Linked DNA regions of Xenopus tropicalis. The protein of the gene in region 2 binds, or shares a complex with, the protein of the main gene of each other region. Links are inferred from orthologs where the notes say so. Each region holds a gene or a part of one and is shown on either strand. Other genes may lie near its edges.

Region 1 (7,848 bases), on a different chromosome or scaffold from region 2:
TATTGTTCCAGTTCGTCTAACATAGTCATATGCATTTACATACAGTACTGTAAATTACTAATTAAAAAGGTTTTCAATAAATTAGGAATGCACTTTAGGTGAATGCAAATTAAAAAGAAAATCATAAATAAACATGATGTATGTCAATGCTTTGCGTTGGGACAGGAGGCTGACGCCCCCCCCCCCCCCCTTCCCCCTCATTGCCTTTTGCGGTCAGGCCGCAGCCCCTTTTTTTCTGGCGGCAAAAGGGTTAAAGAAAACTTATCCACCCCCTATCGTATGAGGTTTCACATTTCAGGCATGCAAGATTACCAAATAAATACAGTTGGTATCAAATTCGAAAAAATCATGCTTATGACAAAAACAAAAAGATTTTGCATCCAAGTTGTGAAAAAAAAATACATTTAAGTCAAATCCATCTGCTTTTTAAAAAAAAAAAAAAAAAAAAAGTATTTAGCAGCAAGGCAGATGTTTGTCCTTTGTGTTTTTTTAAGTATTTAAATTTTAAGTCCCTCTACTTTTAAGATGTAGCAAAGTCATGAATTGGTTCATAAGGTGCTTTTATGGATCTGTAGGTCATCGTTAAGTGCATAGTCATTCACTGGAAAGTTATACACTTCTTCAGATCAATAACAAAAAGAAAAAAAAACAGCAAGTGTTTGCATACTTCATCTTAACCCTTTGATTGAGAAGTACTTCCTTGAATGCAGTGCGTGGTTGGCTGACATCTAATAGAACTCCATGCATATCTGTTAACTTTTAGTTTCTCTGTGATGATTGGTTGGAATTTAGGATTAACAGGCAAAGGGGGTTTTTTTTATTGTATTTTTTTTTTTTTTTTTTTACCTTGCTGTTCAAGTTGCATTTAATTCTTTCCCTATTATAACTGGATGTGGAGTGGGGTGTATTTCCCACGAACCAGTTTAGAAAAAGAAAATTCCATTTAAAAATAAATGACTTTTTTTTTTTTAACAAATCCTGAAAGCTTTTGTGTTCACTGAGTGTAAACTCGCAATGCAACAAAGCATTAACGATGGCAAAATTAAGCATTCAAGACTATTTGTTTAAAGCATCTACAGAAAGAAGGGCCACCATTGGGTTTGGAGAAGGGAAGGTGGGTAGGTGGGGCCCAGTAAAATGGGAAGCCCTGAATATCAAATCAGCATGTTTTTTTAAGTCATGTATTGGGGGGTGGGCTGCTCCCCTAACTTGTACTAGGCCTCAGTATTTTTAAAGGTTAAGTTGATGGTGGCCCTGCAAAGAAGGAAGTGGTCATGATCATTCTGTAATGGGAGTGTGCTCTACACATCTGTAAGCAGCTTGCTTTTGTTAACACAGTTCTGATTGGCTATGGTGCAGTTGCCAGTTCTGATATTTGCCTCTCTAAAGTTATCTATGCTATTATTTAGATCCTCTTCAATCTCCATGTACTCAGATTTGCTCATTGTGGAAGAGCTGCGTCGACTCAAATCACTGTCAGAGGCTAAATTGGGGGTGCTAACATGGAGTAACTGAGCCTGTTCCTCCCCTTCAGTTTCTCGGTGGTAGAAGTAGTTGAAGTTGGACACAATGACAGGTACAGGCAGGGCAATTGTCAGCACACCAGCGATGGCACACAAGGAGCCCACGATTTTGCCTCCAATTGTCACAGGGTACATGTCACCATAGCCCACAGTGGTCATGGATACCACCGCCCACCAGAAAGCATCAGGGATACTTGCAAAATGAGATTCATCCTCTTCAGCTTCAGCAAAGTACACTGCACTGGAGAATAAGATGACCCCAATGAATAGAAAAAAAATTAGCAACCCTAATTCTCTCATGCTAGCTTTCAAGGTCTGTCCCAAAATCTGGAGGCCCTTAGAATGCCTGGAGAGTTTGAAGATTCTAAACACTCTTACCAGTCTGATGACCCTCAGGATTGCCAAAGATGTTGCCTGCTCCCCTTTTTGGGGACCTTCTTGCTCTGCCATTTCAGTTCCCAAGGTGATAAAGTAAGGGATGATGGCCACAATGTCAATGAAGTTCATGATGTTCTTGAAGAACTCCGGTTTGCTGGGACAAGCAAAGAACCTCACAACCAACTCAAAAGAGAACCAGATGATGCAGAGGGTCTCCACCACAAAGAATGGATCCGTGAAGATGTTGGACTTGTAGAAAACTGTGCTGTTGTTCACCCGGCGACTAAAGATCCGCTCATCCTTTAACTCTGGTAAAGTCTCCAAGCAGAAAATAACAATTGAGATAAGGATAACCATCACTGACACTATGGCAATGATCCTAGCTGGACCAGAACTTTCGGGGTACTCAAACAAGAGCCACACCTGGCGTTGGAACTCTTTTTCTGGCAGAGGGCGTTCTTCCTCTCTTATGAAACCCTCATCCTCTCTAAATTTCTCCATGGCTTCTTCACCTAACTCATAAAACTTAATTTCCTCTGAGAACATGTCCAGTGGAACATTGACAGGTCTCCGGAGTCTACCCCCAGACTGATAGTAATATAAAATGGCATCAAAACTTGGACGGTTGCGATCAAAGAAGTACTCATTCCTCAGGGGGTCAAAGTATCGCATCCGTTTTTTGGGGTTCCCTAGCAGAGTGTTGGGGAACTGAGAGAGAGTCTTAAGCTGTGTCTCAAAGCGCAGCCCGGCCACATTTATGACCACCCTCTCACAGCATTCGTGGTCATCTTGGTCTGGATGGTAGCTGTCCTGAGGGTGACCAGGCAAGACTGATGTCTCGTCCATATTCTCCCCTGCTATCACGGTCATTTTTCCAGAGGGGAGGGGGGAAGGAGGAGCTGGTAAAGGTAATCACTTTGCTACTGCAGCACCCCTTCTTCTTAGAGAAACCCCCTGTTTTAAAGCCCACCCCCCCAAAACAACAAATCCTTGGTGGTACAGCTGGTCTCTAGTTGACGTTGGGAGGAGATTGACTATCTTAAGACCCAATGCAGCCAGTCCCCCCCCCCTTGCCTTGCAGAAATCTTGCCACAGACCCCAGCCACCAGCACTTTTCGTATCTAATTTGTATTCCTTCACTCCTGCTGGTCAGTCCTACTGTGAGAATGTATCATTGCTGCTCTGTCACAGTCCCCCAGCCATGCAGTGCTGTAGGATGGAAGCTACAGGGTCTTTGCCAACTCAGCACTTTTTCTCTTGCCTTCCCCTACTGCTTGTTGTCAGTGTTAGGCGAACCAGTGGAACACGCCAGTGCGGTAGGAGACTGCTGCAGGGAAATAAAAAAAAAAAAAAAAAAAAAAGAAAGAGAGTGGACAGGGGAAAAAAGAGAAAAATAGGAAAAATAAATAAGAGCTCCCTGTGTGTCATGAATAAGATATCATGCAAGGCAACACTTACAGATGGGTGCAAGTTCTCCTCCAGGCAAAGCACTGTGCGCATTCCAGCACTGGGATAACTTTGCGCTCACACACACACTTACAGGCTGGAGAAATCACTTTGCTGCAGTGCATGGATTGCATGGGGGGTGCGGGGGGGTGAATAGAGGCAGAACCTAATGGGATGCTTACCTTCCGTGCCGCGGAGCAGGATGAAAGCGCTGAGGGAGCTGAGAGTGATGCGTCAAGCCTTGCGGCATCGGGAAGGCGCATGCAGAACACCCACTTTTTTGCGCCCCTTTTAACACCGAGATCGGTTTACAGGAGAGCGAGCATTAAGTCCTGCTGAAATATTCATATGGCATGCTATGGGGACCGATTCGAGTTAATGAGCTGCTGCTGCTGCTGCTGCTACTGATGATGATGATGATGTTGCTGATGCTGCTGATGCTCAGAGGGATAATAGGGCACGGTGCGCCGATTCCATCCTCTTGGCGGGGTGCAGCGGGCAGGGAAATGCAGGGAGTGGGGCTGCCCGATCCCAGGGAGCTGCAGAGCAGCTGCATTCCAGGAGCTGAAGTCAGAACCCCCTCTGGAGCAGTGATGAGTGTGGGATTGGGAAGGCTGAATACATTAAGAGTAAAAAGCAAACTCTGGCCATTTATTGACGTTGCAGGCTCAGCAGAAACCTGAGAGCTGTTTGGTGCAGCCAGGCAGGGGACAGATCAGCCTCCCTGGGCAGCAACACGGCCATTGCTAGTACCCAGAGCTGAGGGGAATGAGCAGAGAGCAGCAGCCTCCCTCTGTTGGGATCTGATAGTGAGACGCAATGCAGGCAGATCCCCCTCCATAGGCTGGAGCTCCAGCTACTATATTAACCATGGGCTCTTCCAATGCATAGAGCCAGCATCATGCTGCCCTGTGTGTCTGCTGGGAAAGGAGAGGAGGGGCAATACTCTCTGACTTGTGTTTATACACAGACCCTCAGGCATCAGGGCAGCATTGCCAGGTAAGTTTTCTGCATCCCGTCTTTCTACAAGACCAGCCTATAAGCCCCCTATAACCATGCCATGACCCCCACCTTCAACCAGCATATACCAACGCCCCCTCCAGGACTGTCAAATATCAGGGTACGCCCACTCATTACAATTAATGCCAGTGCTCACTCCCCCCACCCCCCAACACCACCAACACCAAACAGCTGTGAGTGATCGCCCTTATCACCCTTTCCTGCCCCCCCCCTTACCCACCAAGCAGTGCCAGCAGCCTGACCGTCTATATTTCATTGCTACATCACTCATACACTGTTCCTGTTTAGGGCACCATTGCTTACATGTGCTCTGTGCCACATACCCTATGCAGGTATCCTCCCACTGCCCACTTAATGCCAATACTGCCCCCAGCTTAGCTCACCCTCCCACCCAATGACTGTTCTGAGAATAAAGGCAGTTTATTATTAATGTGAGCCCAGCAGCCCCAAGTCAGACGGGATACCTGCTGCAGTGTCACACTGATCTTGTTTGTCTCTGCTCACATCCCCTTACTATGTAGGTTAGTAGATCAGCTGGGGCTAGAGGAATAATGGACAGCAAGGCAGCAGCACATACCTGAGCACAGCTAGGTAGGTAGCACTTGCCTGGGCTGTAGAAGGTCTTCTCCCATGAGATGATGCCAGGGGATGCCAGCACAATGAGTGCCTATGTTGTCTCTCAGCCTCATTCCCCCCTTGTTCTGCAATACTTCCCTCCTGGTAGGCTGCAGATGTGCTGCATGCAGTATGCCTTGGCTGGAAAATAATAGTGACAGCCCTATATACTAGCAGTCTATGCTCAAGGGATGCAGGGAGTCTGGAGATGGACAGAGCCTTGTGCCAAGAAGTCTCATTAATGCCATGAGCTGATCCCATGAATAAGGGAGGGAGGGGGACAATATGCAGAGCTGCCTGATCATAAGTCACTGTAATATTTAAGCAGTCCCAGTCACTTAGAAAAAGGGCCTTTATCATTCAGATCTATACACAGTCCCATCCGGCATCCCAAAGGCAGAATATAATAATTTGCCTTTGGGTTTCACCTTATCAGTCTTCAGAGCAGGAAATCCTTTCCACTGCTTTGGGCCCCACTAGGAGGGGTAGACCCATATTTTAGGAACCACTGTCCTATAGACTCTTAACTATACTCTAGCTAATAGAGGGTTTGTTACAGACATGTTACATACCGGTAGCCCATCAATATACATTTTAATTTTTCAGTTTCCTTTTCATGTTTGCATTGCCAGGCAGGAATCTGCCGTGTGGATGTTGTTATACTTCAATTCCTAGCATCCTACTGATGGCTTGTAGTACAACATCACTTGGAGTGCTGTAGATTACATACCCCCCCCCCCCTCCAATATTATTGCAGTTTTGCCTAGCTGAGAATTGCAGGATTTGTGATCTACAAGCCTGACTGCCAAGCTTAATGTTTCAAGTTCTGAAAATCTGACTAACAGAAGGGCAATTATTATTGGAACACTGGTGGTCTTTATAGCAGTACAGTTCTTGGCCCCGAAGCTCTTATTTCATATTCATAGTGTGAGCTGTAAATTCTTGTAAAGGCTTTTAAATGACTTGCCTTACAGACAGCAGCCAACATAAAGACATATACAGAATATAGGAGCTGCATTGCAAACCTACTGGTGTATAGCTATATTCCATATATGCACTAGTACAACATCGGGCTGGGGTGCATGTGATTTTCCCCAAACACTGGGGCTACAGTTACTTCAGCTAGTTTTGCACAATTCAGTATCTTCAGAAAAAAACACAAACAGTACTTTTATGCCTACTTCAAGGTCATTAATATACAAGTCAAAGGGGGCGATCACAGTGCCGGACTGGCCAGTATACAAGGAAAACTCCCAGTGTCAGTGGGCCCTCCTGCTTCTCACCATTTGGCCTACTTCATGGTCATTCCATATTTCTAAATGGGAACAAAGTGGAAAAATAGATGGAAGAACAGATGCTAACATGTAAATAAAAGAGAATAGGAGAATAAAGAGGTTGGGGGAAGAAAGGAGGAAAAATAATTTGGAGAGTGGGCCTATGGTCTAAGATTTTCTGGTGGGCCCCTGAGGTCTCAGTCTGTAATCACCTTTACATTTTTTAGTAAGTTGTGGAGAGTGCTATTCTGAGACAATTTGCAAATGGTGGGCGATCTACAATTTTGCTCCCATCGTGGGTACTGCACACTGCACATGATCACAAGTCACTACAGAAAGCAGGCTCCCCGCTGGCCCCCCTGTAACCCCAGCCCCCCAGCCATGTCCTGCACCACCTTGTCTGGGTTGGGATGGAGACACCAATGTGCCTACTCCAGCCTGCCCCTCATGGATACAGTGCTGTCAGACATAAGCAGCGCTGTATTCAATGGAGAGACACAGGTCTTCTGGTCTTGTGGGCACTCAGCTCAAAGTGCAAAATACATGTTTTGCCCTATTTTGCACTTTGCACCCTGCTTAGGTTTAGTAAATGACCCCTTTATTGGCCCTTGCTGCTTTTACAAGAAAATAAAAATACATTTAAAGAAAACTCCTGACTCCTGTGTCTTTTTGAGGCAGGGCAAAAAATACCATTTAACTATGCCAGACCCACAAGGATCAGTTCCGTTTGTGCTCACAGCAGTGCACACCGGACATTAGTTCTTCAAAGCAGCTTTTAACACAGCGTGGAATCTCTTAGCAGCATCTGTGTGTCCTGTCACATTAATAATGCAGCACAACAGAATACCTGCAGAGGAGCAGGCCGCATAGTTTTGCACTTTCCAATTAGGCTTTCCGCCGGGCTGTGTTAATCTGTCATTGTGTTACCGTTGTATTATGTGCCGGGCCTGGCGTTTGGTTCAGCCCAACGGAGCAAATGTAGCCGCATCCCTTTCTTTTATTTATTCAGTGATGGCCATAAGGAATGGCATGCTGTGCAAGGTGCCTCTAGGAACAGATGGTCTGGCACTTCTAGCCGATGCCTCAGTATGGCAGCTTAATTTCTTTTTTTTTTCCCAGAAATATGATCTTAACAATAGAGTAGGGATTTCCTGTTTCCCATTGCTGTCCTCATGGTGAACTGAGTGCATCACTGTGCCTAGTATCACCTAATAGCACCCGCGCAAGGCCACAGCACCGGAGATATCATCCTATACTCTTCATTGCATAGAAACATGTATTTCTAAGTATACATGTAAGTCTAGTCTGTTTTTAATGCTGTTTAGCTGCTAATTGAAGCAGTATCTGCCTGCCCTCTTCTATTGTTAGGCCGGGTGATTCTGACTCTTGAAACAATGTAGCAGAAAACACACATACTGTAACTAAGTTGTTGCATGGACTACAAATCCCAGAATACTTGAATGTATTATCAAGAATAAAGGTGGACCTACTGTTGAAAAATTGTTTTCCCTACCACAGCCATTGGGCTACAGGGAACCATGATAAGCAGGCTGCAATCTCTAGTCCAGCAGTACCAGAGTTGTAGTTTTTAT
Region 2 (7,126 bases):
CTTTCTTCTTGCCACTCTTCCATAAAGGCCAACTTTGTGCAGTGCGCGACTAATAGTTGTCCTATGGGCAGATTCCCCCACCTGAGCTGTAGATCTCTGCAGCTCGTCCAGAGTCACCATGGGCCTCTTGGCTGCATTTCTGATCAGCGATCTCCTTGTTCGGCCTGTGAGTTTAGGTGGACGGCCTTGTCTTGGTAGGGTTACAGTTGAGCCATACTCCTTCCATTTCTGAATGATCACTTGAACAGTGCTCCGTGGGATGTTCAAGGCTTTGGAAATCTTTTTGTAGCCTAAGCCTGCTTTAAATTTCTCAGTAACTTTATCCCTGACCTGTCTGGTGTGTTCTTTGGACTTCATGGTGTTGTTGCTCCCAATATTCTCTTAGACAACCTCTGAGGCCGTCACAGAGCAGCTATATTTGTACTGACATTAGATTACACACAGGTGCACTCTATTTAGTCATTAGCACTCATCAGGCAATGTCTATGGGCAACTGACTGCACTCAGACCAAAGGGGGCTGAATAATTACGCACACCCCACTTTGCAGTTATTTATTTGTAAAAAATGTTTGGAATCATGTATGATTTTCATTCCACTTCTCACTTGTACACCACTTTGTATTGGTCTTTCACGTGGAATTCCAATAAAATGGATTCATGTTTGTGGCTGTAATGTGACAAAATGTGGAAAAGTTTAAGGGGGCCGAATACTTTTGCAAGCCACTGTATATACCCAGTATCTTCTAATAGCTGGATAACATGATAGCAAACAGTACTATGTAACACGCTGCCTATGCACTTTTTCCCCTAATTTCCAGCTCCTTTAATGGCAGAGATGCACAAAAGAGAAAAATCTGTCACAGAAAACTTGCAGGCTACATCAAGAGGGGCTCGAGATATCTAATTACAGTAATAACCTTAATGGTCCCAAGGGTCCCCCTGGGAGGAGAAGAGTAAAGCTGGCCATACACGTGGTGATCTCACGATGTTTCGTACGACCGTCGGTCGCACGAAACATCGTCAGATCCGCCACACACCATTCAGGGCTGAATCGGCAGGTAAGGAGGTAGAAACAATAGGATTTCTACCTCCTTCTGCCGATTCAGCTCTGAAGGGAGAATTTTGGTCAGGCGCCTTCTATGGCACCCGATCAAAATTTTCTAACTTGGCCGATCGGCGAGCCGACCGATTTCAGCAGCTTCCTGCGATATCGGTCGGCTCGCTGACATGCCATACACGCACCGATTATCGTACGAAACGAGGTTTCGTACGATAATATCGGTGCGTGTATGGCCACCTTAAGGGACAGATTTATCAGCACTCAAGATGTTTTGCACCAGCTCAACTAAAAAAAAAAAATAAATAAATAAATGTTACCTCTGCAGATTTTTTTAAAAAAGGAATCCTACAGTTGACATCCCAGAATAAGTGGGGTTTATATATTTATTCAATATAAGCCTGAAAGAACCTAATAAAACTTATAATAACTGTGAGAAATGCTCAAGCTTAAAAGTGCAAGAAAAATACTGGATTTCTTTTTTGTACAAAAACCCTAAAAATCAGACAGATATCTATCTGTTGGCCAGGTTTAAAAATTCTGTCGGGGGGAGTATATATAGGTGTAATGAAATGACCAGTGCAGCTTTATATAAAGTTCTTGTATCCCAAAGTATAAATAACAGACTGTTTTAAATATAAAATTAAAGGAAGACTGAGGTCAATCTTACCAATTTTGTGAAAAAGCTCTGGAAGTTGTACTTCTACTTTTTCCCTTTGAAACATATGATATTCTGCTTGTTCACATATAGGAGGAATGAGATTGAACTGGCGAGCTACGGAATATGCTTCCTGAAATGAAAAAATGGAATTGTGCTTTTAGAGACACTATATCAAACTATTATAAATGCGCAAGAAACATGCAGTTTCCAAACCAAAGAATTTTTAGAGGTACTACTATGTACCATCTATCTATGCATTACTCATGCATTTGTTTCTATTACTACCATGTACCATCCATTGTTTTGGTTCATTGAGCAGAAACAGTTGAATTCTAGCGGCACTAATTTATAACTAGGTTCAGAACAGTTTTGTAGTTGCACTAGACCAGACAGAGGAATAACCAGATGTGTGTGATGGCCCACACTGTCCAATACATGGTCAGATCCAATCTAGTTGCAGTCAGCTGAAATAAGTCACACAGAAGGCAAACATAGTCTTTGGCCAGTACGTGTTTGATTGTCAGCCAAATAAGTTAAGTAAGTCCAGTTGGAATCTAGTTAATTCAAGGCATATTCCAAAAACTTTGCCAATTTTGTACCTGCAAAATATTAGTCTAGTTTAAAATTACCCAGCATTACAGTGTGTCTCATCTGTACCTGGAATCTCTCCCCTAGAAAGAAGCAAATGCTAACAAAACAACATCATTTCATCTCTGTGTTTATCGCTTCCTAATGTATAAACATGGCATACAGCTAATAACTACTTATGTATGTATGTGTGAAGTGTACCCAATGGAAGAAATCTTACAAGTGATAAAGTCTAAATTAAAATCTATGACATCTTTGTGTAAAAGAAAAGAAAGGTTGAGTAAATATTTCTATTGCTTGCTTTGATCAAACAAGTGAATCTGAATGTCTTGTTTGCTCATATTTTATTCTGCCGCATGGTAAATAAATGTTCATTCAACTCCAAAAATAATTACTTGGAAATACGTCTTGAAGCATTTAGCTCTAACATGCTCTTGTCTGCTTATGTTATCATCATTTCTGGTTCTTTCTTTTAAAATAATCAGCATGTATATTTTTTCGCCAAGAGGCCCATCCTGCTCCAATTATATGTTGTGAGCACAAGTCTCTTGCCTAAAACTGTTCTTTAAAAGCCTAATCACACAGACTGTTATGTAGTATATTTTAAAAACTTGTATATTCATTCATTGTACATACAGCTACTATATGTGAGATCTTTGTCAGTAATGGATGAAAGAATAAATGATGATAATGATGAAGGGAAAGCCTTACCATAATTTCCATAGAGCTCCAACGTGACGTCCCCCAGTACATTGCCATTCCTTGATTAATCACATGAGTCATGGCTCTTACGGTTTCTGTTAAGACAGAAATGGAGGGAAGGCAGGAAAATAAGGACACAATTAAATCTGAAAACAATATTATCAACATGCAGATGCTAAGTGTACAACACCAAGAGGGGAAGTATGCTGCAAGGACATCTTGCAAGCAGTGTAATTCATCTCCTTCTATCTGAAAGGGCTGTTTATTGCACTTGAGGGAAAAACAAGACTTAAATGATACTTTTCCAAATCTCAAGAATGAGCTGAGCCATGACTAAGAGCATTTCAAAATGAAAGGCAAAAAAAGAAACCCATCGTTATCCCTAAGATGAGCTATTTTAGTTCTCAAGCTTATAATGAAAATGTGGAAACTGACCTTGCCAGTCAACTGTAATTATGTAACTATGCAGTCTGATGATGTGTACAGTATGCAGCTAATATCTCACACTCCCTGACTACATATCTTCTGATTTTGGGGGGAAATGTGGCCACATATGTGACTATATAAATTGCCCTGATCCATTTAATCAGTTTGTAAGACAATTACAATGCACCACCAACATCCAGGTCAGCCAATGATCCCATTCATGAACGTATTGCAGTACAGTCAAACTAACTTTTGGAGATCATTTCATGTGCTCACACTAAATTTGATCCTCCAGAATTAGGGTCCCAAATTATATTAAAACAAGCAAATATGTTAACTTGGTTGTTCTGTGCGTGACCACTTCTAAACTGAACATATGTCATACATGTGAACTATGCCAAATAACACAAATAAACAATAGGTCCTTTCAGAACAAATGCAGTTTAATTTACTGAAGGTCTGACAAAAATGCTCACTAATTCTTAGTAAATGCCAAGAATTAGAAATATATTCTTAAAACATATAAGACAGCTGAACGAGCAATGTTGAATTGGACCTTTCTGATGCCGAATGGGCTTTTTAAATATGTCGCAGTAAAAGAAGATTTACAATATGGTTGAATAAATAATATAAAGAATTTATAAAGTCAAGTGAGTTGATAAAAGCAGACAGCAAAGATCTCAACATGGGGCTGCAGAATTCAATCCTTCATAGATTTAGTTTTATTTGTGTAAAAAATAAATACTGCACTGTTCTATTGCAAATGGTTAGATTGTTCCCACAGTGTGTTACAGCATCTCAAGAAATCATGGTGGTTATCTTTTAGAGAAGAAGGAAAGCTCAAATCCCTGGTGGGGGGTTCTACACTGTAAGGCTGATTCTAGTTGCTTAAGTCCTACCCACTCCTGATAATCGAAAGGATCAGGATTATCACCTCCTTGCAATGTAAAACTACAGTATTTGCACCATTTGCTATTTTCTAAGCTGCGTCAAAACAGAAAAATATGCATGACCTAGTCATATCCTGAAAGAGATTTGCAACAGAATGCTTTGCACACTTTTAGAAGAAATTCTATTCTCAAATAGGTTAAAAATTATGAGCTTGTGAAAAATAAAAAAAGTTAAAAAAATATTTACAATAAAAAAACACAAACATACACCCCTTGCCCTGTATAAATGGAACAAATAATCAAACTCACAAAAATGTTTTTGGAACAAGGACAAATTTTGGAATATTAGTGTGCAAATAGTGGTGATTCTGCTACGTAACCAAACTATATAAGGCGATACTAGACTTTCATAGAAGCCTGATAGGTAACAAAGTTCCAGCCAAATGAAGACACTAGCTACTCAGTGTATCGTAATTACCATCAAGGAGTTTGATACAAAAACCTTACTTGCAAAGTAAACATGGAATTATGCAACTGTAAGCCTGTATTCATGCAACCACAAAATTTACCACTCAAAACTGTATGGAATATTTTTTAACACTATATATTCAAATACAAAGTATCCCACCCCACCCAAAAATATCTATAGGCAACCATTTTAGTGGCAAATGCATAACCCAGTGTTCCCATCGACTATACCACTACAAATACTCTGGCATGCTACCGTCTACACAGACAGTTACATTACAAGAAGAAAAAAAAAAAAAAAAGATTAAAACCTCTGATTTTCGTTTTAATAACAGCAAATCTCCCTTTCTTTTTGCTATGCGCATATTATATATATATATATATTGAACTTAATTTCTTTAACCTGTGGTCTATATAAGGGCTACACTAAAATGTGCAGGGAGTAAAAGTCACATCAGAAATAAAGCTATGCTATGCTGTACCCAGTCTTTACATTAAAAGGTACAGAAATAGGTGAGCTAACTGTATGTAGCTCAGAGCTATTGCTGAAGGAAAGTTTTAAAACTCAATGACAGCCACAAATAGGTCAGTGTCCGCCACAATAAGAAATACATATGGAAGGAGAATTTTTTTTTTAAAAGAATTCAATTCTTGATTAAATATTATTTAGGCATATGTAGATTAGAAAATCGTATAAAAAGGGACAAAAAATGTGCAATAAAGCGCGTCATGAAAAAATACACCAATTAGGAGCTATGATAAATATATCCAAATGCATTATCTTGAAGTCAGTCCCAAAAGATGCCCTCCTTAGTGACAGGAAGGGTTATAGTTAAACCGATATTGAAAAACGTGAATATGCAGATATTTCAAATGGTATCTTCTTACATATGTTTAAGTCCTGCAGGAATAATACTTTTACATGGGGGAAGGGAATGTTATGTAGAATGTTTATTTAAAATAAGTTCAGTCTGTCCTGCTACGTTATTTGATAATATAAGCCTGTGACCTTTTAGAGGACAATTTACAAGTTGTGTTGATGTTTTTGTTTTTCCATAGTAACTGAAAAATTTTAAGTAAATGCCTGTTTGTGCATAAAAGGAACGAAAAGCACAAAATTCCGTTACAGTTACTACACAATATATGTGGAAAAGAATCTGATGCAGATTATTGTAAGTTTTATGGATGTGCATGGAGGAAAACTACAGAAATCTACTCTACAGTGCTTGCAAGGCATACTGCAAAGGCTTTTCTCTACTGAAACGTATGGGAAAAAGTGTTTCTAAGATTCCTTCAGCAGGAGAATCCATTATTAGCTTTTACACAAAAAAAAATAAAATAAAAAAGTATCAACTTGAGCCGTCAAATTTACAAGAATTAGCTGGTGGTCTATAATCAGAGGATTTTAAAAATGTAATTATTTGTATGCACTTTGTGCTTCTTCAAGAACAGTCAGATTAAAGTTCGATTTAAGCAGGAAACAAATTGTTTTGTGAATATTAAGCATGAATTACATTTTTTCTCTGCATCTTGAATAAGATATTGGCTTTAATTTTAGAAACACTTTAGGGAACCATTTCTCCAAACTCATATCATGCAGCATCCCTTTTTTGTGTTTAAAGGGTCTCAAGCTATAAATCCATGCCAAAAGAGAAGCAAAACATCCATACAAAGCCTTACATAGGCGCATGCGTTTTCAGAGAAACCAGCTAACAAGGCTCTTAAAATTCTCAGTAGAATACAAGTGTGTTCATTGAAATAGACTGCTGGGCACAAGAAAGGTTAGTTGCAAGCACAGTGAAAAAGTTGCTACTACAACTGGGCAAATACTTTCAAAATCAAGAACTTAACTCCATATGATGGTACCTGAGGTCTGTCACTTGCACAAGTAATTGTTTACTATAAAGAGGCCCTTGTACGGCCGAAAGGAAAAATAACTGGATATATGGTGGTGGCAAAGAGTAAAGCAGCTTACATGCACTCCACATATGCAGTTACATTTCTCATCTGTATTTTAACTGTGATTCAATATTAATAGACTTATGAACGCAATAAATATGTTTTGCCCAACTGTAGAGTGTGTGTCCGAGTGTGTGCCTATTTTCTTCAAGAAAAGACTTCTATGCATTTCTTGGAGATCAAAAAGCATCATTGAGTATTCTCTTCACATGACAGATGAGCTGGGGCTGGTAATGTGCTTTGGAAACAGGATACAAAGTCAACCAAACAAAACACCAATGATGCAGAACGAGTACAGTATTTGAATAGACATCAGATCAGTCTATTTAATTATATTAATCATGCAGAACACATTAAAAAAATTAGGGTAATGAT
Region 3 (7,880 bases), on a different chromosome or scaffold from region 2:
ATTAATGGCTTAATATAGGAACCAACTGCTATATCCCCCACATAATTCTGATACAACCAGTTAAATGCGTGGGGTTTTTCTATGTTTCACAAACTCTTCAGTGTTTTTGGATATAAAGTATATATGTACATTTGTGATTTTCTATATAATACCATACATCATAACTTTTCTCATCATCAGCATACTGTGATGGTTACTGTGGTTAGCATTGCTGGTTTGTAGCAACAGGAGTCCTAAATTTGTTTCCAATCTGGACACAATGCAAGGAGGCTGCATGTTCTTCCTGTGTCTGCATGCATTTCCCCTGGTACTCTGGTTTCCTCTCTTATTCTAAATGCCATACAGGCCAATTATTTGTTTTCACGTGAAACTGACCCAACCGTGTATGTGTAAATGTGACATGGACTTAGATTGTGAGATCTATTGGGAAAGGTACCAATTTTAAATTAATAATGAACAGTCTGTATAAAGCACTGCATAAATGTGTCTGTTCTTATTGAAGAATAAAATAATTTATTACTGATAATAAATGAGAGAAGACATATTATTTTAAGCAGCTGCTCTCAAAAGGAAAATATTTAAATGCACTGTGGATATTACATTTGTTCTGCGGGATATAATGTGGGCAAATGTCCAGATCTGTTTAGCTATATTTGACAAAACGTGTAACCTATGTCATTTTTATGTAACCAGAGCAATCAGCAGAAAATGATTATCATGATAATCAATTATACTAACCATTCCTCAGATATTAGGGCCATATTTAGTATTTATAAAAGCACAAACAAAATGTTGACAAGGCTCACCTTCCTTTATGTTGCACCACTTCCTTTGGTGAAAGGGTTGAATAAGACAAGGGTGGCATTTTCCAGTTGAGGTTGCCTTTCAGTTATTCCCTAATTGCCATGGTCTGTTTTTCCTGATAAGGCTGGTTCACTTCCCTTACATAGTTAAGTGCTGATGTGTTTTCAAATGTATAAAGTGCTTTTTTCTAAGATGCTACTGCTTATTTTCTTTCAAGTCATTTTTATGTGATCATTTTACTCAGTTTGATTTACCCTTTGCAGCAGACCCTTCCTTGTAGATTTATTACAGTCATATTTGTTTTGTCTCACAGTTAATTCTTTGGAAGATTACTTTATACTTTTCAACAAGAGGCTAGAAATGATTATTCATTTCCTTCATCACAGGTGACGTTCTTATTTCCATACCTATTTTGCAAAGCTCTCTGGGATTAACTTTCTCTGAGCATTTTCCCAACAGCAGCAGCATATCTGTAAGTTGGAGCCATCTGGATAGTTGCTATGGGAACTAAAGAGATACCATGACAACGAATAGGGTTTCCCAGGAAACCTTTGTTGCTATGGAAACTGCATCACTGGGGTCAGAATTAGTAACTTCCGATGAAAAGCAAGTCCAGCAGTTTAATCTTCTGGCATGTAGACCTGTTACACATAACATAATCTAAGGACATTCTGAATTTTGTTATGCTGCTTGGCACTATCATAGACATAAAAATGCAGTTTCACTGCAACTTTATAATATGTAAAAGCAGCTTTAAACAAATTTTTTACTGAGTGTTGATCTACTTATACATTAAAGCAGAAACATCTGTGCTGTTCTGTCATAAAAAAATAGAACAGAACAATGCGATTTTTCTGCAGGGATTAAGGACTTCATCTTTTTTTAAAAAAAAAAACATTGTAAGCAGGAGCCAAATAAGAATGGTTAAATTGAATCATATTGCCCTCAGAAGGATGCCTGAGAAGTAATTAGCAATAAGGTGGTGTTCCTTATGCACTGATATTTAAGAGCTAAGCAGCAGCACTTAATTGAGAGAAAATGTAAGACTTAGCAACCCGCTCCCGCTTTCTTGCAGAATGTTAAAATAAAGGCGATAGATGGCAGCTCCCCGAAACAGCAGCTGAATCGCTGGCTGTCGCTCACCAGCCCCACACCAGCCCCACACCAGCCCCACACCAGGCTGCCGGCACCGTGTATTTAGGTGGAAGCGCTCAGAAAAGAAACAATGAGAGGAACACGCTGATGCCGATGCTACAGTGACTTTTCTAGTTGCTGTTGATGTATTCACTTGGCAACAAGTGTCTCGCAGTTACACATCGGTAAAGATCTTCTTGATATTCACACAGTTTGGGTTGTTTGTTGTGCAGTTGCCCGTTTTGAAGGCCGGCTGTTTAAAGGGCCCCGGGCTGACCCCTTCCTCTATGACCATATACTCTGATTTGCTCAGTGAGGAGTTGCTCCGTGCCTTCTTCAGATCCTCATTGGAAGACAGGTGCTGGCAGCTCCCTACGTGCAGGTACTGAGCCTGCTCCTCTCCCTCCGTCTCCCGATGGTAGAAATAGTTGAAGTTAGAGACGATGACAGGCACCGGCAGGGCGATTGTTAACACCCCGGCAATGGCACACAGAGAGCCCACAATCTTTCCCCCAATGGTGACAGGATGCATATCACCGTATCCCACAGTAGTCATGGTGACCACCGCCCACCAAAAGGCGTCCGGGATGCTATTAAACCCAGAAGAAGGGTCATCAGCCTCTGCGAAGTAGACTGCGCTGGAGAATAAGATGACTCCGATAAAAAGGAAGAAGATGAGCAGCCCCAGTTCCCTCATGCTGGCCTTCAGTGTCTGCCCCAGGATCTGCAGCCCTTTGGAATGCCTGGAAAGCTTGAAGATCCGAAAGACTCTGACCAACCGAATGACTCGGAGGATTGCCAGCGACATCGCCTGCTGCCCGTTTCCTTGGCGCTCAGCCAGCTCAGTCCCCAGGGTGATAAAGTAAGGGATGATGGCCACTATGTCTATAATGTTCATAATGTTCTTACAGAAAGTGGCTTTGCTCGGGCAAGCGAAGAACCTGACCAGCAGCTCGAATGAAAACCATATGATACACAGGGTCTCCACCACGAAGAACGGGTCGGTGAAGGAGCTGCTGATGTACGGGCCGGTGCCATTGCCAGGGGGCAGAGCCGTTCCGCTGTATTCCTTGTCGTCTCGGAACTCGGGCAGCGTTTCCAGGCAGAAGATGACAATGGAAATAAGGATCACCAGGACGGAGACGATGGCGATACCCCTGGCAGGTCCGGAGCTCTCAGGGTACTCGAAAAGAAGCCATACCTGCCTCTGAAATTCATTGGGGGGAAGCGGCCGCTCCTCTTCCCTGATAAAGCCCTCATCTTCTCTGAACTTCTCCATGGCTTCTTCCCCCAGCTCGTAGAAGCGGATCTCTTCTGAGAAAATGTCTATGGGAACGTTCACCGGTCTCCTGATCCTGCCGCCCGACTGGTAGTAGTAAAGGATGGCATCGAAACTGGGGCGGTTCCTGTCAAAAAAGTATTCGTTCCGCAGGGGATCGAAGTATCGCATCCTTTTCTTGGGGTCGCCGAGCAAGGTGTCGGGAAACTGGGCTAAAGTCTTCAGCTGGGTCTCAAAGCGAAGGCCGGATATATTGATCACTACCCTCTCACAGCACTCATGGTCCTCTTGCTCGTAGGCTTCGCTAGAGTGGTGCCCCGGCAGGGCAGCCGCCTCCTCCAGGATGTTATCACACGCCACCACAGTCATGATCTCCTGCTCCAAGTCCGTGTAGCCTGGGTTAACTATGTTCGAGTTGGTTCTGTGTCTGGTGGAGGATGGAGGAGGCGAATGCAGGAGACTGAGGTGCTCGTCCATAAAGGTGAGATGAGGGGTTGGGCGGGTAGGAGAAGCGCGGTGGCCTCCTCCTTCAGCCCACTACATGAGCCGCAGGCTCCCCTCCCAGCTCTCTCTGGTAGAATCTTGTTGCGTCTTGTATATTAAAAGCATTTGCGGAGATTCCTCCTTTTTACCTCCCAGACTATGGAATCTAGCTGATGGAGCGCACACAGAGATATATAGGTCTCCTTCTGCCATCCCTTGCTCCTCCGACCCCTCCTTTCCCGCCAATTCCTTCCCGCCCACAGAGAGCGGGCAGCTACCACCTGAGGGAAGGAGGCAGACAAGGATTGTGTGTGTGAGGAAAGGGGCTCTTGTAGCTCTGTCTGCCTAAACCTACCCATCCATCAGCATATCTGTATTCTATTCCTATGCCCAACTCTATGGCTGGATAAGCATAAGGACAGTCTCTTTTCTGTCATCATTCTATTATTATTTATTAACATTTATTTATAAAGCACCAACATATTCCGCAGCGCTGTACAATAAGTGGGTTTCATACATTGGACTTACAGAGTAACATATAAAGCAAGCAATAACCGATACAAGAGGTGAAGAGCTTACAAGAGAAAGGGTTGAGACACAGGGTGTTCTATCTACAGGGGCTTATAGTTTTCACTTAAAAAAAAGTCTTCAGAAAGAAGTTAAATGCTATTTATAACATGATATCCTTATAAACTAAATGCTGCAAGAATCTGTTCAGGATGTATTTAAAAACAGTGATGGGGGAATTGGCCCTTATTTAAGTGGCACTATCTTTAATTTGGGGGGCAGGAAGGGGCAATGGGCACACACCAGGCAACAGATGAGAGGGGCAGAATACCTGAAAGAGCTATAGCTTGCACATTTATTGTGGGAGATATCTTGATTGGCTATGTTGTGGTTGAGTGCAATGCTCCTAATTCCTTTTCAGATATTTGCGCAAACATTTTTTTGTGCACACATTTTGAAATGTGCTCAGGTCAGCATAAATGCAAAATTCTTTATGCAAACCATTTGTTGTGTGCACTAGCCTTTAAACTTGACAGAACTTTGGTTGAGTGTAAAGGTCCCCATACACCTTCAGACATCGCCAAGCGAGTGGATCTTCTCCCGATATCCCCCACCTACGGGTGGGCAATATCGGGAGAATCCAGGCTAATTCAATCGTTTGGCCCTGGGGATTGCGGATGAGCCAATGCGGTCCCCGATCCGACTAGATTTTTTAACCTGCCCGATCAATATCTGGCCGATTTCAGGCCAGATATCGGTCGGACAGGACCGTCGGTAGTGCCCATACATGGGCCGATTAACTGCCGAATCGTTTTAAGGGACTGATATCAGCAGCTAGAATCGGCCTGTGTATGGGGACCTTAAATATAAAAAAGTAAAGGGACACAGAAACACAAATAGAGGGACATGATTTGGCACAAATTTTGGTTTTGCCTACTTTGTAATCATCCGGAGTAATGAAGCATTAGGTACTCCAGCAGTTTATGATATACACACTGTCTATTCGCTGTTCCTTCTTGACATACTGTGTCCCCAAGCATTTCAAGGCACAGTCTTCCCCTAAACATTTGATGGCATAGTCTGGCCCAGGCATTGCGGAAGATGATTTTGGGTGGGGAAAGCTGGCCTGCCTCCCCCCATCAAGTAGTACAACTGGGCAAGATAGTAAAATTATAGTACAGCTAGCAAAACAGCGAATTTCAGCTCAAAACTGGATTCTCTTTGGTAGTGGTTTTCAGAGTTTCTGGTAGGAGCCAACCCACTACCCACATAGGCAGGTAAGATGAATGAAAACACTTGTTGAATCACAAACTTAAACTGGCCATGCACAGCAAGATCTTGGGACAGGACCACATCAACACCCTGATGCACTCCTTATCCAACAGGATTCTTAAACCTTACTGACTTACTGACTGTGTACAGTATGCCCACATTAAGCCAGGTTATGACTGAATTAGGCCCAGGAACCTATTTGTGTCCTTCTGTGCTCAGTAACAACCCAACAATAATATCAGAGCAGATTTTATGAAGTGGAAAAAAATATACATTAGCACATTTATTTAAAAGTCAATACCATGATGTTTCATTTGATGCTTGTTAGGAGCAACCCTATCATGCTACATACATTTTCTAAAAAGTTGCACAAGAAGAACCTATAGAAGAAGATCACTGCACAGAGCACTTACAGAAGTACGCCAGGCTGTTGCAGTTTTCTGCTACTCATAAGCACCCACCCGGGGTATCAGGTAAGTTATTATAATCACTGGGGGCTGCCTAACTGATTTTTTTTTGTTGTAACTTATAATTTTATTTTTTCAAAAAGAAAGCAAACAGTAAATGTACAGCTTATACAGTCGTTCTTATAAAAATCAACATAGTAACAGTATGGTTCGGTTCATATAGTTATCTTTTGTTAGTCTACACATTCTACACAAATAGGGTTTATGCCTGACTGGTTGTGCCATCAGATTTGTGTTGTACTGTGCATACCAGGTTTTAGAGACTGATAGATACAGGTGGAGGGGAGAAATAGGGGGAAAAGGTACAAAGAGAAAACTGGGGTTGACTGGTATTCACTGCATCTAAGTGCCCTGTTTTGTAGTTAGGTCATGTTGGAGAGAAGATCCCAGGGAGACCAGATTTTAACATACTGGGTATTTTGTTTTGTATACGGGCCAGTCTGTATTCAAATTGCATGGTATTATTGATTTTTCCGTTTATTTCTAGGATAGAGGGAATGCATGGGAATTCCATTTAGCTGCTATGGAGATGCAGGTGGCTGAGAGTATCTGGTTGACAAGTTTTTGTGTAGATTTTGAGAATTGTTTGGAAGGTTTCCCCAGAAGGAGGATTAGGATATCTTTATCAAGCGTCTGAGATGTAACCTGCCGTATGAGTGTTAGAATCTCATCCCAGAAAGTCTGTATCTGGGGGCAAGACCAGAAGATATGAGGCAAGTCAACTGATTTTTATTGTGTTGGGTTGAAAAACCCAACATACTGTTCTTTGACATATTCTTGGCTTATTCTTCCACTTCTTTGCGCCCCCCATTTTCTTAATGCTACTCCTTCTACAGTTTTAGGGGTACAACACCCAAACTCTCCACACTTCTTTGCCCTATAGTGTAGCAGGTTGCTTGTGCTTTTCTAAGCGATTGCGCCCCCAGTTGTTTTGTGGCGCCGCTCCGAACCCCCCAATTTTCCCTTTGACTTTGACAGGGAAGATATTCAAACTGCTGCCACACTTACAGCTTTGAAGCTACACTCCCCAAACTTGAATAACATAATCATGGGGTCACCCCGAATGAAACAGCGACTTTGTTGGATGACCCCAAAGTTGGAGAGGCCAACAACAGCCAATAAAATTTTATCCATTGACTTGGAAATGGGAAAATTTAAACTGCTGCCACTCTTACAGCTTTGAGGCTACACTCCCCAAACTTGAATCACATAGTCATGGGGTCAGCCTGAATGAAAATGTGATGATTGTTGGATGCCCAAAAATGGGCGGAGCTGTGAATAGCCAATCATGTTTTACCTATTGACTTGGCAGAAATCCATCCTGCTGCCATTCTCACAGTTATAACACCGGGGTCCCCAAACTTTGCAGGGTTAGGCACCAGGTAACTGCGGTTCAAGGTTAGAAAAAGTGGGTGGAGCCACCAACAGCCCAAAATTTTACCTATTGACTTTCAATGGGAAAATTCAACCTGCTGCCATTCTCACAGTATTAACCCCAGGGTCCCCAAACTTTTCACAGTTGGTCACTAGGGGACTGCAGTTTCAGTTTTAAAAAAAGTAGGCGGAGCCACCAACAGCCAATCAGATTTCACCTATTGAATTTTATTGGTTTGATGCCAGGGTTCCCAAACTTTGCACAGCCAGTCACTGGGTGACTATGTTACAAGTTTAGAAAAGTGGTTGGGGCCAACAACAGCCAATCAGATTTCACCTATAGACTTCTTATGTTTAAATTTAAACTGCTGCCATTCATTAAATATTAATACTAAGGTCCCCAAACTTTGCAGAGCTAGTCACCAGGTAACTGCGGTTCAGAGTTAGAAAAAGTGGGTGGAGCCACCAACAGCCAATCGGATTTTAACTTGATTTTCAATGGGGAAATTCAACTATGCCTGACGAAGGGGTACGCCCCCGAAACAATGCTTTTTGAATAA
Region 4 (7,695 bases), on a different chromosome or scaffold from region 2:
CTACAGAGAAAAAGGAAATCAATTTTAAAATTCTGAATTATTTGATTAAAATGGAGTCTATGGGAGACAGGCTTTCCGTAATTCGGAGCTTTCTGGATAATGGGTTTCCTGATAAGGGATCCCGTACCTGTACCATAAAATCCAGAAATACAGTAAGTGCAAATAGTATTTAAGCTTCAGAATAAATAGGTTTAATTCTTACTCCGTAATCTAAACCCATTGTGATCTAGCAGATCTGCTATGTAACTTTTGCCATTTATCCTTTCTTTAGACGGAATAACCACTTTCATTGCTTCACAGCAGCTTGTTAGTATAAACTATAGTAGTGTTTCTGAATCTAACACACTGGTTCTCAGTGCAGGGCAACATTACATTATATTTTAATTATTTTAAAAAACGTTCATTTTTAATGCCAAGAGGCACTTTTGTGTAAGGTTTTGTAATGAACAAACAGGCTCTCAGTGCAACAAGAGGAGAAGTGTTAGGAGTGTTTTGGATGCAAGTACCTTCAATGAATAGTGTCAATACACGCATGTCCTTGTGTCCATCTGAGCGAAGGCACACTTGTGGTTGTAAATAAGATCTAATACCTGGTAACTGATGTTAGCTAATTTAGCATATAGATTTAGCATATATAGATTCAATTTAAATCAAATAATTCACAGTTAAAAATGATTCCCTTTTTCTCTGTAATAATAAAACAGTACCTTGTACTTGATCCCAACTAAGATACAATTGATCCTTATTGGAGGCAGAACAATCCTATTGGGTTTATTTAATGTTTAGATTTTTTTTAAGGTCTTAAGGTATGTAGATCCAAATTACAGAAAGAGGCCTGTTTATAAGAAACCCCAGGTCCCATACCTGTATAAATGTTTTTAGCAGTTATAAGGTGTGGTGCTTGTATACTACAGAGAGATCCCTTATTTGAAAAACTTCAGGTGCCAAGCAATCTGGATAATACATCCCATACCTGCATTGTATTTATATTAAAACCATAACATGATCTGATTCCTTCCTTCAATCATAATACAGGTATAGGACCCCTTATCTGGAAACCCATTATCCAGAAAGTTCAGAATTACGGAAAGGCCATCTCCCATAGACTCCATTATAAGCAAATAATTCTAATTTTTAAAAATGATTTCCTTTTTCTCTGTAATAATAAAACAGTACCTTGTACTTGATCCCAACTAAGATATAATTAATCCTTATTAAAGGCAAAACAATCCTATCAAGTTTATTTAACATTTATATGATTTTCTACTAGATTTAAAGTGTGGAGATCTAAATTATGGAAAGACCCCTTATCCGGATAACCCCAGGTCCCGAGCATTCTACATAACAGGTCCTATACCTGTACATGTATATTCAGGATATACTGCATAACATTATCTGGTGGGAAGGTGAAAGCTATGTTTGATGTCGCCAGGCTGCTGTCAGGTAGACAAGCGATGCCACAGTGCAGTAAGGTCTTTATGTATGCACTGCATGCCTTACTGCAGAACCAATTGTAAGCTTCGCCTTTCCCCCATTAAGTGGAGTTTACCACAAACTGGGAAAATGGATGCTTCACATACCGAATGAAAAGGGTAAATCAGATATGGCAATTTACTCATTGCATGCAGTATTTTAACCTGCCGTAGCCTATAAAATATAGATACATAACAGCATGAGGAATGTGGAATGCAAATTGCCTGCAGTGTGGCCCATTGTCATCAACACTGTGCATGCTGCTGAGATGAAATGAGGTTTATTTGCATGGATGGAGACAAGCTATGGTTTCACGGCTGTTATACTGTAGATGTGAGATGCATGGAGCCTTTAACCCGGGGCACAGAGCAGCAGGGGAAGGAACAAAGACGAACAGGGGCTGCACAAGAGATGCTTCATTCAGAGGACAGCATCACAATGCTGCTTAATTATTTAGGAACACTTAAAATGTGAGTATATATTTTGGTTAAACTAAATCCTACGCTCAAGATTTAGCCCTAGCCTTTTTTTTTTTTAAGTCATGAAACAACAAGCTTACATATCTAGCTGGTTCTACAGTTTTGAAAGATCTAACACTCAACCTAATATCAGCCCTCCCCATTGGCTGATATTAGGCATATAGAAATGGTTTATTTCAGTAGGGGGTATATTAAATATTGATGATTCTGGTTTTTACTTGCTATTTTTATTGATGATGCTAATTCTGCATGTCTGGATATGTGATTCATGTAATGGAGTTTGTAGGGAGGGCAGAATATGCTTCCAAAAAAGACATTTCAGCCTCCTGTGAGAGGAGCTGCACAAGGAATGTTCTATTTCTATTCTGATGTAATGGAAAGGGAGGTAAGTGGAGGAGAAATGGGTTTCCAGCATTCACATTATTTAAGGAGAATTTCCACTGGGAACAAACATATAAGTAGGAAAAGCATTCTTTTATTGCACAATAATGAAATAAAGGATCAATTCAGAAATTAAATCGTAGATATTAAAAACAGCAGACAAGAAGCCCCTACCTGACCCATTTTTTATTGTATAATCCCTGCTGAAATCAGGGCTGTTTATGTAGGTGTTGTACAGACAGGGATTGGGTTTAACACCTGCGAGCCTGAATATGTGTGTGCGCGGCACATTTAAGATTAAGCCTGTTGTGAACTGTATTGCAGATCAATGCTTAGCAGGCTTTCCCAGGAATCCCTGTAGCTACATGCTAAATGGAAGAGGGTGAATTTGGGATTTCCCTATTCTAACGTCAGTTCCATGACCTCAGCTGTATGAAGGGGAAAAAAACACACACACAATAGTGTTTACTGCACGGGAGGTTTCTATGGTTAAAATGTCTCTGCTGTAGTCGTGATGCTGTTCCTGTTGGCACTTGTTTCGCCAAGGGTGAATAATGCAGTAGATGGAATATTAGATTTGCTAAGATTCTTTTATAATGGATCATATGTCGGCTTGCATTCTGCTGTCAGTAAAGGTATCCAATTGATTCAAGCCTTGATAATCGGGCAGGTCATTTGTCATGCAGAATACACTTGAATACACATTTCATTTGTCTCCTGTGACCTGGTGGGCAGGAGGCACAAGCCTGTTTCATGCAAATAGGGTGGAGATAAACCTCATCCCCAAACAACAGAATGGGTGTTGGGCTTGCTATATGACACTGGCTTAGCATTACACCATGGAAACTTGAGAGCATCTCTGATTTAACTGTTGTCTATGGGAATTTGAGTTTTAACCTTTTTAACGCCAGAAAGAACCTAAAGAGGACTTTCCCCTTCACGCAAGAGAAAGCTGTCCATCTATAACCTGAGCTTAAATTAAATATTGTGTCAGTGCAGCACAGCCACAGGATGTCTTTTACTGTCTATTTCAAAATATTATACAAAGTAAATATATATATATACAAATATATATATATATATATATATATATTTGTGTATGTGTGTGTGTGTGTCTTTTATAAAACTAGTATTTGCAATTACAATTATAGCAAGCTCTTTTACATGATATTCTGTCTGCATGGTGTCTACATTTATATTTTCCTTTCTTATTGGGCTGGCATTGCCCCACCTTTTAAACCTTTAGGCATCAAACACTGTATAGCTTTCCTTCTACAATGCCCTAACCCTCTGTTTTATCTCAGTAGCTTTCCCTGTTATGTGGGATGTGCTCTGAATGCTGCCTCTTGCTTTGTTGCAGTGCAGAATAGTGAGGCATCATAAAACAGGCTGGCAATGGGGGAGGCTGGGGGAGGCTGTGACTGCTGCATCTGGAAATTGGGTCTCTGCAGATGTTTCATGATGTACCAGCCTTACCTAGCTCCTGTTTTTTCTCTTTCTTACCAGGCAACGTCACACCTCCTGAGGACACCAAAGCAGTCTTTTTTTTTTTTTTTTTTTTTGCTGAGCTTAGCATCTACCATCTAGCATATTATATGCTTTAAACAGAAGCATATCTGTTTACAAGTAAGCCTGTGAGCCCAATCCTGCCCTTCCAGTAGCATGGTTGTGTCATCCCAAGGACACCTCTCATTTTAGAAAAATTGCCTTTTATTTTTTTTATGTTTAGGACAAACAATTTATAGGATGAAATATACCCTGTTTTTGTGTCTTGCATTTCCCGGAGCACTGGAGCAGCTTTGTCTTGTTACTAAGAAACCTCGAGGTTTGCTTCCGAAGGTAATTCATTTGTATTCAATTGTTATTGCATCTTTGTTTTTTGCATGAATTCCCTTCTGCTATTCTGCAGCATTTCTTGTGTCCGTAGGCGCAGCTGCTTTTTAGGGACCTTGATCAATTTTATTTGGGCACAAAGATTTGGCATTTGTTGCTGTGATTAATCACTAGGAGACTTGTTACAACCACAGTACAGCATAATGATGTGTTATATCTGTTAGTTAACACTGCCCTGTCTCTTATTTTATGAAGTATAGATGATAAGATTAGCATGATAGGGATAATAGTATCACAGGTATGGGACCCATTATCCATTATCCCATTATCCCATTATTATTATGCTTGGGACCTGGGGTTTTCTGGATAAGGGGTCTTTACGTAATTTGGACCCCCATACCTTAAAAAATCATAATTAAACACAAAAGGATTGTTTCGCCTCTAATGGGGATAAATTATAGAAAGGAGAAAGGAACTCGTTTTTAAAAATCTGAATTATTTGATTACAATGGAGTCTATAGGAGATGGCCTTCCCGTAATTTGGAGCTTTCTGGATACAGGTTTTCCTGATAATGGATCCTAAACCTGTATAACATTGTCACTGGCTTATGCTCATACTTAATATGGAGATTGGTAGTGTAATGTATTAGTAGTGCAATTAATATATTAACAATTTACAAAACCCAGAGAACGTTTTCTTTTTCTCTGGCATAGACATTATTCCTAGAGTGAATAACCACAAATATTAACCTAAAATCTTCTCTTTGGATGATAATGCCTTCTAGACATTTCATTTCAGACAGGCACTGTATTCACTAAGTAAGCTTTCATTTAATTGTTCCTTTGTCCTTGGATTGTTGGAATGCTGATACTTGTATCCCTTGAGAGACTGAATGCAATTGGAAGTAGATAAGAAAACTGATATCAGGATGAGGGAACAAATACTGTAAAAGTATGATCTTAAACATGACTAATAATAGTAACATAAGCACATACATACACATGTGCAGTATCTATTTCTTTACTGCTCTGTCTGTCTGTCTATCTGTCTGTCTGTCTATCTGTCTGTCTGTCTATCTATCTATCTATCTATCTATCTATCTATCATCTATCTATCTATCTATCTATCTATCTATCTATCATATATCTATCTATCTATCTATCATCTGCTATTTAGCTATAGCTTTTGTTTTCTTTTTATCTAACAACTTGTCAGTCTATCATCAATCCATCCATCTATCTGTTGAATTTATGAAATATATGTTAGGGATTTCCTTGTGCAGTTATTCATTCAAGACCATGTCATATAAAGTATTAAATTGTTATATAAATATTATAGCCCACAGAACACCTTTAAAACATACCCCCTACAAAATAATAATTTTCTTTTCTTTTTTAGGTGAGAAGCTGTATACTTCTCATCTCTTCCAGAAACCTTTTACGATCTTGACTGCACATATTTCCAGAGTGCTTGAGTGCAATCCACTGCCAACAGTCAGCCAAAAATACCAAGCAAAGCTTTTATCTGGCCCCTAGCTATGACCGTTGCAACTGGAGATCCGACAGATGAAACATCGGCTTTGCCAGGTCACCCGCAGGACAGTTATGACCCTGAACCAGACCATGAGTGTTGCGAAAGAGTGGTTATTAATATTTCAGGACTGCGGTTTGAGACTCAGCTGAAAACCTTGTCTCAGTTCCCTGAAACTTTACTAGGGGATCCTAAAAAAAGGATGAGATACTTTGATCCCTTGAGGAATGAATATTTCTTTGACAGAAACAGGCCAAGTTTTGATGCTATCTTATACTATTACCAGTCTGGTGGCAGATTAAGGAGACCAGTAAATGTGCCCTTGGATATATTTTCAGAAGAAATACGGTTCTATGAACTTGGTGAAGAAGCCATGGAAATCTTCCGGGAAGATGAAGGATTTATTAAAGAGGAAGAACGCCCTTTACCAGACAATGAATATCAAAAACAAGTGTGGCTATTGTTTGAGTACCCTGAGAGCTCAGGACCCGCCAGGATTATAGCTATCATATCAGTTATGGTTATATTAATATCAATTGTCAGCTTTTGCCTTGAAACTTTACCAGTTTTTAGAGATGAAAATGAAGACATGCATGGAAGTGGAGTCAATTACTACCCGTACTCCAATAGCACAGTTCGATATCAAAAGTCAAATACTTTTACAGATCCTTTCTTTATTGTGGAGACTCTGTGCATCATCTGGTTTTCATTTGAGTTTCTGGTTCGTTTCTTTGCCTGCCCTAGTAAAGCTGGCTTTTTTACCAATATCATGAACATCATTGATATAGTTGCAATCATCCCTTACTTTATTACACTAGGCACAGAGTTGGCAGAAAAAACGGAAGATGGGCAACAGGGCCAACAAGCAATGTCTTTAGCAATTCTTAGAGTTATCAGACTGGTTAGAGTATTTAGGATCTTTAAACTCTCTAGACATTCAAAGGGTCTACAAATCTTGGGGCAGACTCTGAAAGCCAGCATGAGGGAATTGGGACTTCTAATATTTTTTCTCTTTATTGGTGTTATTCTCTTTTCTAGTGCAGTGTATTTTGCTGAAGCTGATGAGAGAGATTCTCAGTTTCCCAGCATCCCAGATGCCTTCTGGTGGGCTGTAGTTTCCATGACAACAGTAGGCTATGGAGACATGGTCCCTACAACAATAGGTGGCAAAATAGTAGGCTCTCTGTGTGCAATTGCAGGCGTATTAACCATTGCCTTACCTGTCCCTGTCATAGTGTCCAACTTCAATTACTTCTATCATAGAGAGACAGAGGGGGAGGAGCAAGCACAATATCTGCAAGTAACCAGCTGTCCAAAGATCCCTTCATCCCCTGACCTTCAAAAGAGCAGAAGTGCCTCCACTCTAAGTAAATCGGACTACATGGAAATTCAAGAAGGGGTAAATCATAGCAATGAAGATTTTAGAGAGAAGAACTTAAAAACTGCAAATTGCACATTAGGAAACACAAATTATGTTAATATAACCAAAATGCTAACTGATGTTTAAGTGACTTTTTCACCACAAATGTGTCTGGGACAGTTTCAGAGTCTGTGTAACGCAATAATACGCTAGGTCTTATTTCTAGGTGTGCTAGTTCTGCATGGGAAGCAATATCTGTGTAAGTGATGTCTTACTGCATTCCTAACTTGACTATAACTCACAGAATATCTATTGGCAGCATTACTGCGGTTACATTGTTTCCCAAAGACGAGCACGTTAGATGTAATTTGAGGTCACTGTCAAAAACTCATGCAGGTCAGTACTAAAATGCATAAGCTTGAGACCTCATGAGAAAAACTATTTTTTTGCACTTTAGAAACCTATGTAAAACCCAGGAAATGACATTTCATGCTTTAATGTTTGTTCCTTTGGATACCGATACTTTAGGTCTTAATCGAATGGTAATGCAATGGTGCAATGCCCAGGAGATGCATATATATTTCCCCTAGGGGTTAAATTGCTATTAAAAAAAAAGGCCTTCTGAGTTTTATCGAATA

The links.
Region 1: the proteins of kcnab2 (region 2) and kcna1 are in contact, whole or in part, in a crystal structure (PDB 1EXB), measured with the Rattus norvegicus proteins. The link is inferred for Xenopus tropicalis from reciprocal best matches to the Homo sapiens genes KCNAB2 and KCNA1. Residues at the interface, in NP_059000.1 of Rattus norvegicus: Met196, Tyr199, Ser200, Arg203, Glu231, Lys235, Ile236; in NP_775118.1 of Rattus norvegicus: Glu37, Met70, Phe73, Asp74, Pro75, Leu76, Asn78, Tyr80.
Region 3: the proteins of kcnab2 (region 2) and kcna3 are in contact, whole or in part, in a cryo-EM structure (PDB 7EJ2), measured with the Homo sapiens proteins. The link is inferred for Xenopus tropicalis from reciprocal best matches to the Homo sapiens genes KCNAB2 and KCNA3. Residues at the interface, in NP_001186789.1 of Homo sapiens: Met196, Tyr199, Ser200, Arg203, Glu231, His234, Lys235, Ile236; in NP_002223.3 of Homo sapiens: Pro133, Met137, Phe140, Pro142, Leu143, Asn145, Tyr147.
Region 4: the proteins of kcnab2 (region 2) and kcna2 are in contact, whole or in part, in a crystal structure (PDB 5WIE), measured with the Rattus norvegicus proteins. The link is inferred for Xenopus tropicalis from reciprocal best matches to the Homo sapiens genes KCNAB2 and KCNA2. Residues at the interface, in NP_059000.1 of Rattus norvegicus: Met193, Met196, Tyr199, Ser200, Arg203, Glu231, His234, Lys235, Ile236; in NP_037102.1 of Rattus norvegicus: Asp28, Glu33, Pro62, Met66, Phe69, Asp70, Pro71, Leu72, Arg73, Asn74, Tyr76.

The regions. Positions count from the first base shown.
Region 1 is NC_030679.2:19,193,279-19,201,126, forward strand, and holds the start of kcna1 (potassium voltage-gated channel subfamily A member 1), read right to left. Parts: upstream 4,377-7,848; 5' UTR 3,530-4,376; intron 3,229-3,529; exon of another isoform or gene 3,226-3,228; 5' UTR 2,772-3,225; coding exon 1,302-2,771; 3' UTR 1-1,301. UniProt on the Homo sapiens protein: Voltage-gated potassium channel that mediates transmembrane potassium transport in excitable membranes, primarily in the brain and the central nervous system, but also in the kidney.
Region 2 is NC_030683.2:98,482,110-98,489,235, reverse strand, and holds part of kcnab2 (voltage-gated potassium channel subunit beta-2), read right to left. Parts: intron 3,104-7,126; coding exon 3,018-3,103; intron 1,849-3,017; coding exon 1,728-1,848; intron 1-1,727.
Region 3 is NC_030678.2:52,492,079-52,499,958, reverse strand, and holds the start of kcna3 (potassium voltage-gated channel subfamily A member 3), read right to left. Parts: upstream 4,009-7,880; 5' UTR 3,695-4,008; coding exon 2,114-3,694; 3' UTR 807-2,113; intron 1-806.
Region 4 is NC_030678.2:52,549,356-52,557,050, forward strand, and holds the start of kcna2 (potassium voltage-gated channel subfamily A member 2), read left to right. Parts: upstream 1-3,437; 5' UTR 3,438-4,172; intron 4,173-5,565; 5' UTR 5,566-5,704; coding exon 5,705-7,204; 3' UTR 7,205-7,695. UniProt on the Homo sapiens protein: Voltage-gated potassium channel that mediates transmembrane potassium transport in excitable membranes, primarily in the brain and the central nervous system, but also in the cardiovascular system.